Caenorhabditis elegans: one gene and its partner. The protein of the gene in region 1 purifies or fractionates together with the protein of each later gene. This does not show direct contact. Each region holds a gene or a part of one and is shown on either strand. Other genes may lie near its edges.

Region 1 (7,111 bases):
TCACCGGAAATGTTAACCGCCAAGTGTTGTACCCGGACATTTTACTGATAAATTTGTGGTGTATTTTATAGTTTTTGTTTTTTTGATATGCCTTTCTTAGTAATTTTAGCGAAAAAAAAACAAAAAGGACCATTAAATGGACTGAGCTTGTTTTTAATTTCTGGATTTTAAAATTAAAATTTCCCCCGCTAAACGGCGGAATAAGCGGCTCAATTTCGGAGCATTGTTTTTATGGGTTCAAAAGTATCATTTTCCCTTTTACCCGAGCTTAACCTATATTTTTTTTGAATTATTCACCATATAATTAGTGTTCATAGAAAAATAGATGTGTCTCTAATCAGATTAGAATTCAAAGCTTCTTTAGAAAATGTGAAACGTCTTTTCAATGCAATGTTTATCGGTTTTTTTTCAAGATGTTTTTCTTCGGGTTAGTGATCTTATTGGGTTTTGATTTATTAGTTTTTTTCTTTGTGAAAAATAAAAAAATATTGTACATTTAGCGGCGGTGGGAATTATTTTTCGTGGGTAGATAGGAGGAGGTGGCAGTTGTTTTGATAGGAAGTCGGTGTTCGGAGAAAAAGCAAGTCTTCGAATTAATTGGAATAATATTTTTATTATTATTGTACATGTTTTACAACATGTGGTTAGTTTTGGAAAGTTTTTTAAACGAAAAAGTAATAAAATACGTGTTTTTTTGTGAAAACTTTTTAATTGTTTCTATTTTTCGATATTGAAAAACCAGAAAAATTAGAAGTTGAATTTCCCACTGAAATGTTGAAAAAAATTAAACTCAAATTTTCAACAGAATTTTTTTTAAAAGGGAAATTTCAAAAAAATTTCTTTGAAGTTTCCTAACATTTTAAAAGATAATAAATGTATTTAAATGAGGTTCGATCAAAATTTTTTGTTGAAAAGTTAAACTTTGAATGTCCCGCCAAAATTAAAATTAAAAATTTGAATTTCCAGCTGGAAAAAATGCAAAATTTGAATTTTCTGTAAAAAAATTTAAATTAAAATTTGAAGTTTCCGCTAAAATGTTTTAAAATTTTCAGCTAACTTTTGAGAAATTGAAATGTCAGTAACAATTTTTCAACAATTTTTTAATTTCCAGCAAAATTGAAAACAGATTATTTAAAATTTATTTTTCTGGAAAGTAAAATTTCAATATTTTTTTCAAAATTTTTTTCAACATTTTTACACATATATTTTTAAAAATTGGCAAACCCTGCATAGAGAATACACATCAAAAAGATTACGCAGGTTGTTTTTTTTTTTCCAATATCAATTTTCGCAAATATATACAATTAATTTCTGATTGATACAAAGCATGTATTTATGATTTGATCTTAGGAATTTCGGCCACCTGCAGGAATTAGTGTCTCAGAATTTTGATTAGAACAAGAAACATTTGAAAAGAGAATGTTCTTTGGTAAATTTGGATCACAAGCCCACGCATATTTTTCAGACATTTTCATACTAGTTTTCCCACAGCCAAAATGGACACCTTGCAAAGATATTTTCAATTTTTTTTAATTGATTGCTATCTATTTTGCCATTTTTTGCTTTTGCCCGTCTTCACTGGGCTTTGCTCATTTTGAATTCTGAATTCTTAGCTTCTATGTCGTAATTTTGTACGATCAGAATCCTCAAAATGTTGTACTATTTTTTCGGTACGTTTTAATATCAAAACCACAATTTTTTGTTCTCGATAGTGTACCCACCGTATACTTCTATATACTTCTCCAAATTCTACTGAGGGTTTCTGTTTCGGTTTTTCTTTCGGAGGCATGCTTCATAATTTCATAAGTTTCTCAGTGGATTTTTTAAAAATTTGTTTTAAATAAAATATTCCCACTATAATTTAATTAAAAACTGAAAAAAGACCAACGTATTTTTTTAAAAATTAACATTTGAATTTTTAGCAAACATTATAAAGAAATATATTTTTAATTTATAATTTTCAAAAAATTTCGAAAATTTTTCATTTTAATTCGGGCTAGAGTAAAATGTTTAAATAAATTTAAAACCATTTTTCCACTACTACCTTAATTTTTTAAATATTAAATTTCTCACCGAAATTTAAAAAATGTTAAAAATGCATTTTTCTATCGAAAAATTTGAAAAAAAAAGCTGAAATTCGATTTTTCCGCCAAATATTTAAAAAACATATGCTCCAAAGTTGTTCTTTTTCTGTATTTCTGATCTTCAAAATTTTATAAATTTTTGTACATATATTTTCCCCCTAAATCGTAATATCCCAACTATAATTTTCGTTCTCAAAAAATCGTGCCGGTAGTAGGCAGCCATGTAGGCACGCAGGCAGGCATGCCGAGCCTAAATTCATCAAAATTATCAACATTTTTCAGATTTACCAAAATGTACCTCCTGAACCCCGGCTCTATGTATAAACTAACAGTAATGAATATGACAACAGCTGCAATAGAGCAAACCGATGCAATATTCCGAGCCGCATTGATTTTCGAGTGGATCCTTATCAGTATAGGCTTCGGGGAAACTATGCTTCTTTGGTATTTGCTCCGATATACTAACCAGTACCATCGGAACTTGGCGATGATCGTCGAGCAACTCCCCAATCAATATTTCCCGTCACTACTGGCAAGAATGTACATGATATATAAACAGTTGACGATTTCTAATACAGGTATGGTTTGATAAAAAATTAAAGGAATTTTTCACAAATTTTGGGTATGGGAAAGTTGAAAAATAGCATTTTAATTAGTTGAGAAGAGTTGAAAAATTGGATTTCAAAAAATTGAAAAAAAAATTGAATAATTCTAACTTTCAAACAATTCTAACTTTGTTTACAAACAATTCTAACTTTTCAAACAATTCTAACTTTTTAAATTTAGCAGGTAGCAAAAAGTTGTCTACTAGCACAATGTGAGAAATTTAATTTTCTATGTTTTATCAGTGAACAACTTTTTGATAGCTCACATGTTTCTTGAGATATCTGAGTTTTACAAAAGTAATCTGCTCCAAAATAATTTCGAAAAAAAAATTGAAATATTGAAACTAATTACCTCAAAAACTAGTGTAGTAGGCCTAAATTGTCAACTAATAAATTATATCAAATTGGTTTTCTATATTTTGATAATACTAGTTTTTTGATAGTATCATGTAGTTTTTGGGATAAATTCGAAAAAAAGAGAAAATTTTTTTTGACGTTAAACAATTCTAACTATTTGAATTTTGCAGTCAGCAGAAAATTGTCAATTAATAAAATCTAGCAAATAAAGCTATTTATATTTTATACGTTGACACCTTTTTTATACTTCACACTGTTCTTGAAATACCGGGGTTTTTAGAAGTGTACCCACTTAATAATTATGGTGAGAGACTAAAATATTGAAACTGGATTATCTCAAAAACTAAAATAGATATCAAAAAGTTACTAACTGAATAAATGTAGCAAATTGAATTCTCTATATGTTGTAATTAATAGCACTCTGATATCTTCAATCACAACAAAGTTATGGCAATTAAAAGAACAAATTTCAGCTGATCTAATCGAAGACCAGGGCTTCCTTTTCGCAGTTTGGCTCCGAAATTCTCTACTTTTTGTGGCATTTTATTTTGCTCCGTTTCCAGTTATAGAACGATGTTTTGCAACTTTGTACATGCACGTGAGTGTTTTTTAACCCAAAAAGTGCTCTTATCACCTTTGTTTCAGGACTATGAAACAAATAAACGGCGATGGATATCGTATCTTTTGAGTACAATTTTATACATTTTCGCGATAACCTCCGCGCAATTTTTCATCTTTGGGTCTTCAAATCGCGAAATTCACATTTTTCTGATTACCGGCTTCAATTTGATCGCTTTTGGGGTATATTTTTAACTGCATTTTTTTTGTAAAAAATTGGTGATTTTCAGTTAACATTTGTCATGGAGCGATACAACAAGAAGAGGTACTCGAAATTGCGGAAAAATGTAAATTCCGACTATTCGTTGAGTGTGAGAGCACAATTATCGGAGAATATCAATAGTACTCTGGTGAGTTGTACATAAATTTTTTCCGCCTTGCCTGCCTCGCCTGCCTCCCCCAATTGCCCCCAAATTTGTAAATTTTCCAGCCGTTCAAAGTGATGTGCTTCTCGATCGCCTTTTTTGCCTCGCTGTGCACTTCTATGCTCCACGTGGACGAGTGGACCGAGTCGCAGACGATACGAAATTGGGTTTATATGGCTTTCAATTTTAGCTGCTGGTCGTATGGTACTTTGGTACCATTCTTCATGCTGGCCTACAATCCGCTGTGGCAGAAGGAGTTGAGACGATTGGGAGGAAAGGTAAGTACTGTAGGGGTACTGTAGGGATACTGTTAAGGGTACTATAGTGGTACTGTCGATTTCTCTTGGGGTACTGTCAGAGTCCCGTGATTGTATTGTAGGGGTACTGTTGTGGTTTTGTAGGGGTACTGAAGGGACACTGTCGGGTACTATTGGAGTACATAAGGAGTCCCTTGAAAGTAATGCACGTGTACTGTAGAGATATTGTTGAGGTACTGTAGAGGTACTGTAGGGGTATTGTATGGGTACTGTAGGGGTACTGTAGAAGTACAACAGGGATGATTTACCGCTCTTGTACTGTAAGGTAGCTATAGGGGTACTTTAAGATCCTTGTATTGGTACTAAAGGAGTACTGTAGGTGTACTGTAGCTCTACATAATTTACACTTTTCCAGTTCTGCTGCTGCCTATGCCCGGCCAATCGAATCGGAGCCGACCAGACTGGTCGCAAACGGCCACCCACAAAAGTCAAAGACACTTTTGGCAAGAACTGCAACGTGGAAGACGCGGAGCACACGACAATCTATTTCTCACAGCTCAACGCCGACTGGAATGCTCCCACCGAGCAAAAAAAGCGACGGGAACGGAAAAACGAGAGGTTATCAATTTCCGATGCTCAAGCTCAATCTGTTATCACTTCAAGATCGATATCCAATCATTCTGTTGTTATTTGATTTCTTTTTTTTTGAGATATATAAAACAAAACTTAAAATATCGTTATCAAGAGGTGTATCCAAAGAGTGAGTAATCTTTTGAGCCAATATTTGCTCAGGGCCCGCCGAGGTGTCACTATATTTATGGCCGTTCTTGCAACTGGTTTTGTTTTTTTTTTGAGAAAAAACCGTCTAGGTTCCTAGGTGCGTAGGTACGTAGGTGCCTACATGCCTTCATGCCTACATGCCCACATGCCTACATGCCTACATGCCTACTTGCCAACATGCCTACATGCCCACATGCCTACATGCCTACATGCCTACATGCCTACATGCCTACATGCCTACATGCCTACATGCCTACATGCCTACATGTCTACATGCCTACATGCCTACATGCCTACATGCCTACATGCCTACATGCCTACATGCCTACATGCCTATATGCATACATGTTTGCATTCCTTCATGCCTACATGCCTACATGCCTACATGACCACATGCCTACATGCCTACATGCCTACTTGCCAACATGCCTACATGCCCACATGCCTACATGCCTACATGCCTACATGCCTACATGCCTACATGCCTACATGCCTATATGCATACATGTTTGCATGCCTTCATGCCTACATGCCTACATGCCTTCATTCCTACATGTCTACATGCCTACATGCATACATGTTTGCATGCCTACATGCCTACATGCCTACCCCCGAACTTTGCTCTTTTCTCATCTATTGTGCTCTTTTTTGTGACACACATTTTGGCAGATTCGAGGGGTAGTACTTGTGCAAACACTATCAATATATCAATTACCTATTGGCACTTTGCTCATTGAGCAATCAATTCATTTATTTTAGTTTTGTTGTTCGGTGACACTTTTTTCTTAATTTTTTGAATCTTTTCAGTAGGGCTTCTATGTAAAAACGCCTACCAAAACGCCTGCCGTGCCTTCCTCGCGCCTCCTGTATAGTGTGGCGCGGAACCCAAGAAGTGTCGGCCGCGGCTTGTCGCCATAGTGTAGGCGAGAGACCGGCATGAGGCAGGCATGTTGAAGGCAGGCAACAGGCCCTGAAACCGCGCCTGCCTCCCATGGAAACCCTAATTTTCAGCACGATATTTCAGATGACACGGCCAGATTCTATAGAATTGGATAGTATTTGCGAAGCAGGGGATTCCATGGATGATTTGAGGGTGAGTGAAGCTTTGGCCAGAAAATTCAGAAAAAAAAAGTCACATTTTTAAAATGTTTCAAAATTTACTAATTTCAGGAAATACTATCACATACTGAAACAACTCCAACTCGAACGCTTCCAACGAGATTTGAGAGAATGGCCAGTCAGATGACTTGCCCTGTAATTTCAGAAGAGGCTAGCTTTGGTGGGTTATAACTATTTTTAGATGATAGGTGTGAAAAAGTTGTCAACTGACAAGTTGCAGGAAATTTTGTGGGTAATATTTTGTAAATTTAAAATGTTTTGATTGTGAAAAGAATTCCAAAAAAAGTTTTTTTGGACATAAGGCTTGAAAAACTTTTTAAAAAATATTTCTTAATTTCATCGAAACCTTCCTCAATCAAAGAATATTTTTTGCGTGTTTCATGTTTGGAGTGCTCTTTTCTCTATGCTCGAGGGATCATGTACGACATGATATTTGTGTTGTCTTTCCCCCTCCTTATAATATTGACCATTGAAAAAACAGGTTCTTTTCGTGTGCCAACCGATCTTTCGGCTTCTGCCAAAAAAATGGCCCCTTTACTTGTGTGTCTGCTCCTGTTCAACGGAGTACGTCATTTTTTACACGTATTACTTTTTTTTACCAAAAAAAGTGAAAAACCTCGGAAATTTGAGGTTTTCAAATAAGTTTGGCTGGAATTTAAAATTTTAATTTTAATTTAATTTTTTTTGTTTTAATTCACACAAAAACCCATCCCGGAGGTGCATACTTTCTTTGGTCAACATTCAGTTTTTTTTGTTTCAATTCGTTTCAATTGTGGTATCGTATTGTATATGAAAACATAAGAAACATACACCCTTTTTTTCATTCTTATTGAATTTCAATTTTTGTCCATACAGTTTGGAATGAAAAAACTAACTTTTAAGCAATTGAAAAAAAAACCAAAAATTGTGGAAAAAATTGCATTCAA
Region 2 (5,697 bases), on another chromosome or scaffold:
TCCACAGTTTCCAGAAACAGTCGCGCAAAAAAAGGATGGAAGTCCCATGCTGGTGTAGTTTGGGTAGAGAGCTTCATCCGATGGCCGGAGCATGATTAGAGTCACTGAAAAATGGGATGAAATTAAAAATGAGGTGCCCCTTGATTGCGGGCCTACCAGGCGCGCCTATCTTGTAGCATTTCTGTACTGCTCTACTTTTACGGCTGATATCTCGGCTGCCTTAAGTTCTACCAAAAAATATTCAACTGTGAAAATGTAGAAAAATGTTTTGCACGTTTTTTGTCAGTTGGCCTATTTTTGATAAAACTTAGGAGACACAAGATAAAAGCTGTCAAAGTTGATGTCACGTGGTGTCAGAGTGTTCCATTTCGGTTTGATCTACGTAGATCTACGAGAATCGCGGGAATTTAGACGCAGAGTTCTCAACTAATTTTGCATGGTTAAGAGCGTAGTGACGTCACATTTTTTGGGTAAAAATTCCCGCATTTTTTGTAGATTACGTCTTTCATGGGACAGCCTGACACCACGTAAGATATCCCTTTTGAGGGATATAAAAGTGCAGAAAAATGCGCGTCTTTAAATATTACTGTATTTTCGAACACTCGACCGATATCTCGAAGCTGCAGAATTTTCATTGATTTTTTATTTGTTTTCGATAAATTTTTCTCATGTAACACAAACTTGTCGCCTCGAGACCGGGTACCGTATTTTCTTTCTCAAAAATTGGACATACATTTGTCAGAATCCGTCTTGTAATAAGCTGAAACAGATGTAAGACATGTAGATGTGCAATTGGTTGTAGCAGCTGATATCGCATAAGCACTCTAGAACTTTTTTTTTTAATTTAACAATTAAAATTATTTAATATTCCTAACCAATTCATATAAAGCAGTAGCTGAAGCATTTCCATACGAGAAAGATGCACCACCATTGACCAAAAAATGACTGTAATACGCTGAAACTTATCAAGATAACTTGATTTTCTGTTCAATCAAATATTTGTTCTTACGATCTCCTTCAGATCCTACTTGATACTGAGTCAACGTTGCCAATGAGCTTGCTGAAATAGAATCAGTGAGTAAAGTTTCAAGTGGTGTCAGAGTGCTCCATCTCGGTATGATCTACATAGATCTACAAAAAACGCGGGAGCTGATTTCGTATGGCTAATAACGTGCTGACGTCACATATTTTTGTGCAAAAAATTCCTGCATTTTTTTGTAGATCAAACCGTAATGCGACAGTGTGACGTTTATTATAGAATTTCTCACGAATTGTGTCCGAAGTACATTGCGAGTTGACTTTATTGATATTATTCACTAGATTAAATATTAGAAACACCAATGAGAAAACCAAATTTCTCATTGGAAATTTTTTTAAAGTGAAGGCATTCTGGAAGAAAAATGCCGATGGGCTGCCAGTCTCTAGGCGACGATCCGCTGGTTTCTAAGCGACAAATGAATAATTTTAACGATCGTGTTTTGTTGTTGTGAAATTGGAAACATCAGCATTAAATATTCCAAATTTTTATTCGAATTCTATAAAAAAGTTCCGAATTCATAAGGAATCGACAGTTTATTCACAGATTCTTCAGCTTTTCGTCGTATTTCGTCCATATTTCCATGCTCAATTGCAAGACGTTTGACGTCACGATGTTGTCGTTTCTCTTCAGCTTCGTGTTGCCGAATATGAGCCTGAAAAAAAATATATTTAAATTTTTCCGTTGAACCAAGAATATTCGATGCTTACCGCAAAATATGGAGCTCTTTTATACTTTTGATGACAAATTGGGCATTGGAAAAGAATTGGCTTCGGCAAACACCCGTCCTCGTGGCGTTCCAAATTGAATTTCCGAGAGAAACGTTTGAAACAAGTCTGAAATATATTTGGCATATTAATTTTGGAAAATTACAAAAAAACTAACCCTACAACAATAATCTTCAGTATCTCCTAAAAGTTGAGCAGCCGTCCGGATTCGCTTCGTTTTTGTTTCAGAAGATGTTGAAGGTGTTTCCTTTTCATAGCGAAGTGCAATTACTCGTTTTGTGCGCGGCTGAAATGAAAAATAAAGTTAAAATATAAATATTTTCAAAATATGGGGGCCACTATGGCCAAATTCATTGGTGGGCGGCAATTGCCGTTCGGCAAATTCGGAAAATTGCCAATTGGCCAGAAGTTTTCAATTCTGGCAATTTGCCTATTTGCCGAAAATGTTCAATTCTGGCAAATTGCCGGGTTTGGAGGAAAATTCAATTTCGGCAATTTGCTGATTTGCCGGAAATTTCAATTCCGGCAATTCGCCGATTTGCCGAAAATTTCAATTTCGGCAATTTGCTGATTTGCCAGAAATTAAAAAATCACTTAAGATTCAATTTTTTCCATTTATTTTCAGAATTAAATCCAATTCTTACCAAAGAAACACTATATCTAACATGTTCTGTATCAGCTGGATGGTCTCCGGGCAATTCGACGATATAAGGTGTTTCGTATTTCTCACGATTCATCAATTCTCGATTGAATCTCGATTTTTGATCCAAAACTCCTCGGATAAGCTTTCCATCTCTTAGAATATATTTTTATTCCTTTTTTGTTTTTAATTTTCAGTGAGTACCTTGAAATCGCCGTGATTAGAAGTTGAAATCGTTCCAGATGCTTCGTTGTTACGATTTTTCCACCTTCACCGATAAATTTTCTGAGAATTTCTTCTCGAAAACCCGGCAGCAAGTCCATCTGGAATTGAACCTAAAAAATATTGAAAATTTGAAAACCAATTGAATACAATATAAGTATAGATCTGAAAACTTCATCCATTCATAAATAAGTACTAAAACTGGAGAGGAATTGGTGGGGTACATTTTATAGATGAATTCTACGAATGAAGTTGATGAACTTTAAAAAAAAGATAAACGGCAAACAAATAGAGAATATTGCAAAGAGAATTATCGTAAAATTCAATGTTACAGACCTTGGTTTAAGGAAGAAGTTTTAAGACAGAAATGATGTAAGAATCGGGAATCACTGATGATGAAGGAAAATTGATGAAAACGGGGCGGAAGGGCGGAAATCACAGTGCATGAGACTACACTTCAGGCATATTGTTCATTGGATCCTGGACTAGCGGGGACATGAGAATGGGGGAATAATTATTTGGAAATAATAATGATAATAATGTTAAAGATGTTGTAAATCGGTGATCGAATCACCATTCAGCTTCTCCGGTACACTTCTGGAAGCAGTAATCCTTTTTGTCGATGTGCATAATTCCATCCTTGAGCTGGAACTTCCACTTGGTACGGGCACGATTCACCTGAAAATTGCAAGATTCGACAATTTAACTTATAAAATAAATAGAATTAACCTTCTCGAACTGGCACATGACAACATTGTCCGCCTCGAATAGCATCGTCAAATCTTCATCGTCTGATTGATCATCTTCAGAATTCAATGGTTCCTCTTCTGCCACTTGATCTCCATCTTCAACTTCACCATTTCCCATGCGATCAGCGATTCTTCGAAGTGGATCATCATCATCGTCAGGCTCATCTTCACTGGAAGAATCAGACATTCCACCGCCACCTCCGTCGAGTTGAAAGTCTTTCAATAGTGATCCCAAGACTTTCATCGCTTTCTTCTCACTTGCTCCACTTCCACGGACTCTCAATGAGCACTTTGTCTTTTTTGGAGCAAGTTTTACAGGTCCACTAGGTCCTTCTCCGTCTGATTCGGATCCCACATTTCCGTCCATTTGATTCATATGGGTAAGTTGATTGCCCTGTTGAGGCTGCTGCTGCTGAGCCTGTTGTGGCTGTCCTTGATGAATAATTCGATGCTGTGGAATCTGATTCGGCATAATCGACATTGGAATATTCTGACCATTTGGTTGCTGCACAACGAACACTTGTCCCGGTTGAAAGTGAATTCCACCTTGAAATTGTGGATTGAACATGCGAACTTGAGATGGATGTTGCTGAAAAACGATGGTTTAGTTTTGTGGTTTACGTAGGAGTCGTGCAAGATTCTTGACGATTTTGAATGTATAGACCCAAAATGGGCTAAAAAAAACGAATTTCATAATGAAACTGCGAAATTTTTGAAAAATTGCACTGATTTCAGCTAAAATCTCGAATTTTTCCCTTTTTCCGTGTCACATCTGTCTGAAATTGAATTTTTTGGAATTATCATCCCTATCATTTAATTTCATCGATTAAGGTACATTTAAAGCCTGTCGGTTACCTATCGGCTTTAAATGTACTTTAATTGGCGAAATTACATGAGATAAACCACCCAAATCTGCAATGAAGGATGATAATTTCAAAAAAAAATCAATTTCGGACCGATGTGACAGGGAAAAAGTGGCCAAAATTCGAGATTTTTGCAGAAATTAGTCAATTTTTTGAGCAGTTTCGTTACGAAATTTGGAAATTTGTCCTGCTGGAGTATTAGTCGCATTTAAAAAAAAACAATAATTAAATTAAATAACCGTTGGCTGGCCAGTGTACGCCATTCGAATCGGAGCATCTCCAATGTGTGCTGCGTGAAGAGCCGACAAAGCTCTCACTGGCTGCTGAGCAACGGGTCTCTGTGGAGGCATCGGATTCGGACGAACGGCACTCGGCGGTACGTGATGCTGTTGGCGTGGTGCCGGTGGTGGTGCATTGCTCTCCAAGTCGACACATCCACTCGAATTCACTTTATCCTCCCATTCTTTCCTGAGTTGAGATAAAACGTCGACGTCGATGTTCTCATCGAGAAACGCTTCTTTCATATTGGCGATAACATCGGCCATAACCGACTTGTACAGCTCGGCGATTCCATTGCCGTGTGCCATGTTGGACGTTTGTCGTTCCTGTTTTAAAAAAAATGAATAGATAAACTTTTCCGAGATTTTTCGTCTGCGACACTTCCAACCATGTTCATTTCATAAAAACCCCCATTAAGAGTGGCAAGAAACAGGTTTCTCGAAGCGGGCTAGTCAAAATGAAAAAAAAAATTGAGAAAAATCGATTTTCCAACGTGACGTTACGTTCTTAAATTTGCGTAGACGATTTTTTGAAGAAATTATTATTATATGGTGAAATTGCAAAAAATATGACTCATAATCGATTTTACATACCTTCTTCAAAAAAAAAATGTTTTTTTCCAATTTTTCACATTTTCAACACGCATTTCATTACAATTTTCATGTTTTATACCACACACGGGGCCCTCTGATCACAGAAAGACACACTCGAAGAGAGCGAAAATTCGACTCACCAATCTGGCAGCAAGCAGCGACGATCGACTGAGTATATATACGCCGCAGCGGGAGGGGTGACGTCAGCGACCAACAGTGATGTGCAGGTTGTCGACGAGCGCCAATTCAAACAGGATATTTTGTTGTCTCGACGCTCTCGAATCTGAATGAACTATAGCGGTTGAAAATGAAAATAGAATGGGAAAACGGCGAGAGAGAGGAAACGTTTGCGGCGGCAGTTTCGAAATGGAGAAAAGGTACGCAAGCATCACAATTGACGCGAAATTGCGGAAGTAATTTTTGTTTGAGCTTGTGGATCGAGACCCGAAGAACTCGGGGGATGTCCAATTGGGGGGATCACGGCCTCCCGCACGAGAAATGCGCACACTCTCTCGCTTTTTGTTTGCGCGTTTGCGGACGACCACCTTGCCTCGCCGCCGCTTTCAACAGATATTCATGAAATTGAG

The links.
Region 2: the proteins of sre-5 (region 1) and K11D12.12 fractionate together in Caenorhabditis elegans (co-fractionation; one large-scale study listed by BioGRID). This does not show direct contact.

The regions. Positions count from the first base shown.
Region 1 is NC_003282.8:3,562,835-3,569,945, forward strand, and holds sre-5 (Serpentine Receptor, class E (epsilon)), read left to right. Parts: upstream 1-2,366; 5' UTR 2,367-2,376; coding exon 2,377-2,662; intron 2,663-3,519; coding exon 3,520-3,644; intron 3,645-3,691; coding exon 3,692-3,847; intron 3,848-3,894; coding exon 3,895-4,014; intron 4,015-4,094; coding exon 4,095-4,307; intron 4,308-4,701; coding exon 4,702-4,980; 3' UTR 4,981-5,020; downstream 5,021-7,111. Other genes in the region: otpl-1 (Otopetrin-2), read left to right, coding at 6,145-6,159, 6,237-6,345.
Region 2 is NC_003283.11:5,049,303-5,054,999, reverse strand, and holds K11D12.12 (C2H2-type domain-containing protein), read right to left. Parts: upstream 2,740-5,697; 5' UTR 2,728-2,739; coding exon 2,609-2,727; intron 2,560-2,608; coding exon 2,409-2,559; intron 2,051-2,408; coding exon 1,922-2,050; intron 1,873-1,921; coding exon 1,747-1,872; intron 1,692-1,746; coding exon 1,536-1,691; 3' UTR 1,510-1,535; downstream 1-1,509. Other genes in the region: cwp-4 (Coexpressed With Polycystins), read right to left, coding at 1-104, 734-824, 876-955, 1,010-1,060, 1,269-1,362; pqn-51 (Prion-like-(Q/N-rich)-domain-bearing protein), read right to left, coding at 3,197-3,304, 3,356-3,964, 4,478-4,825.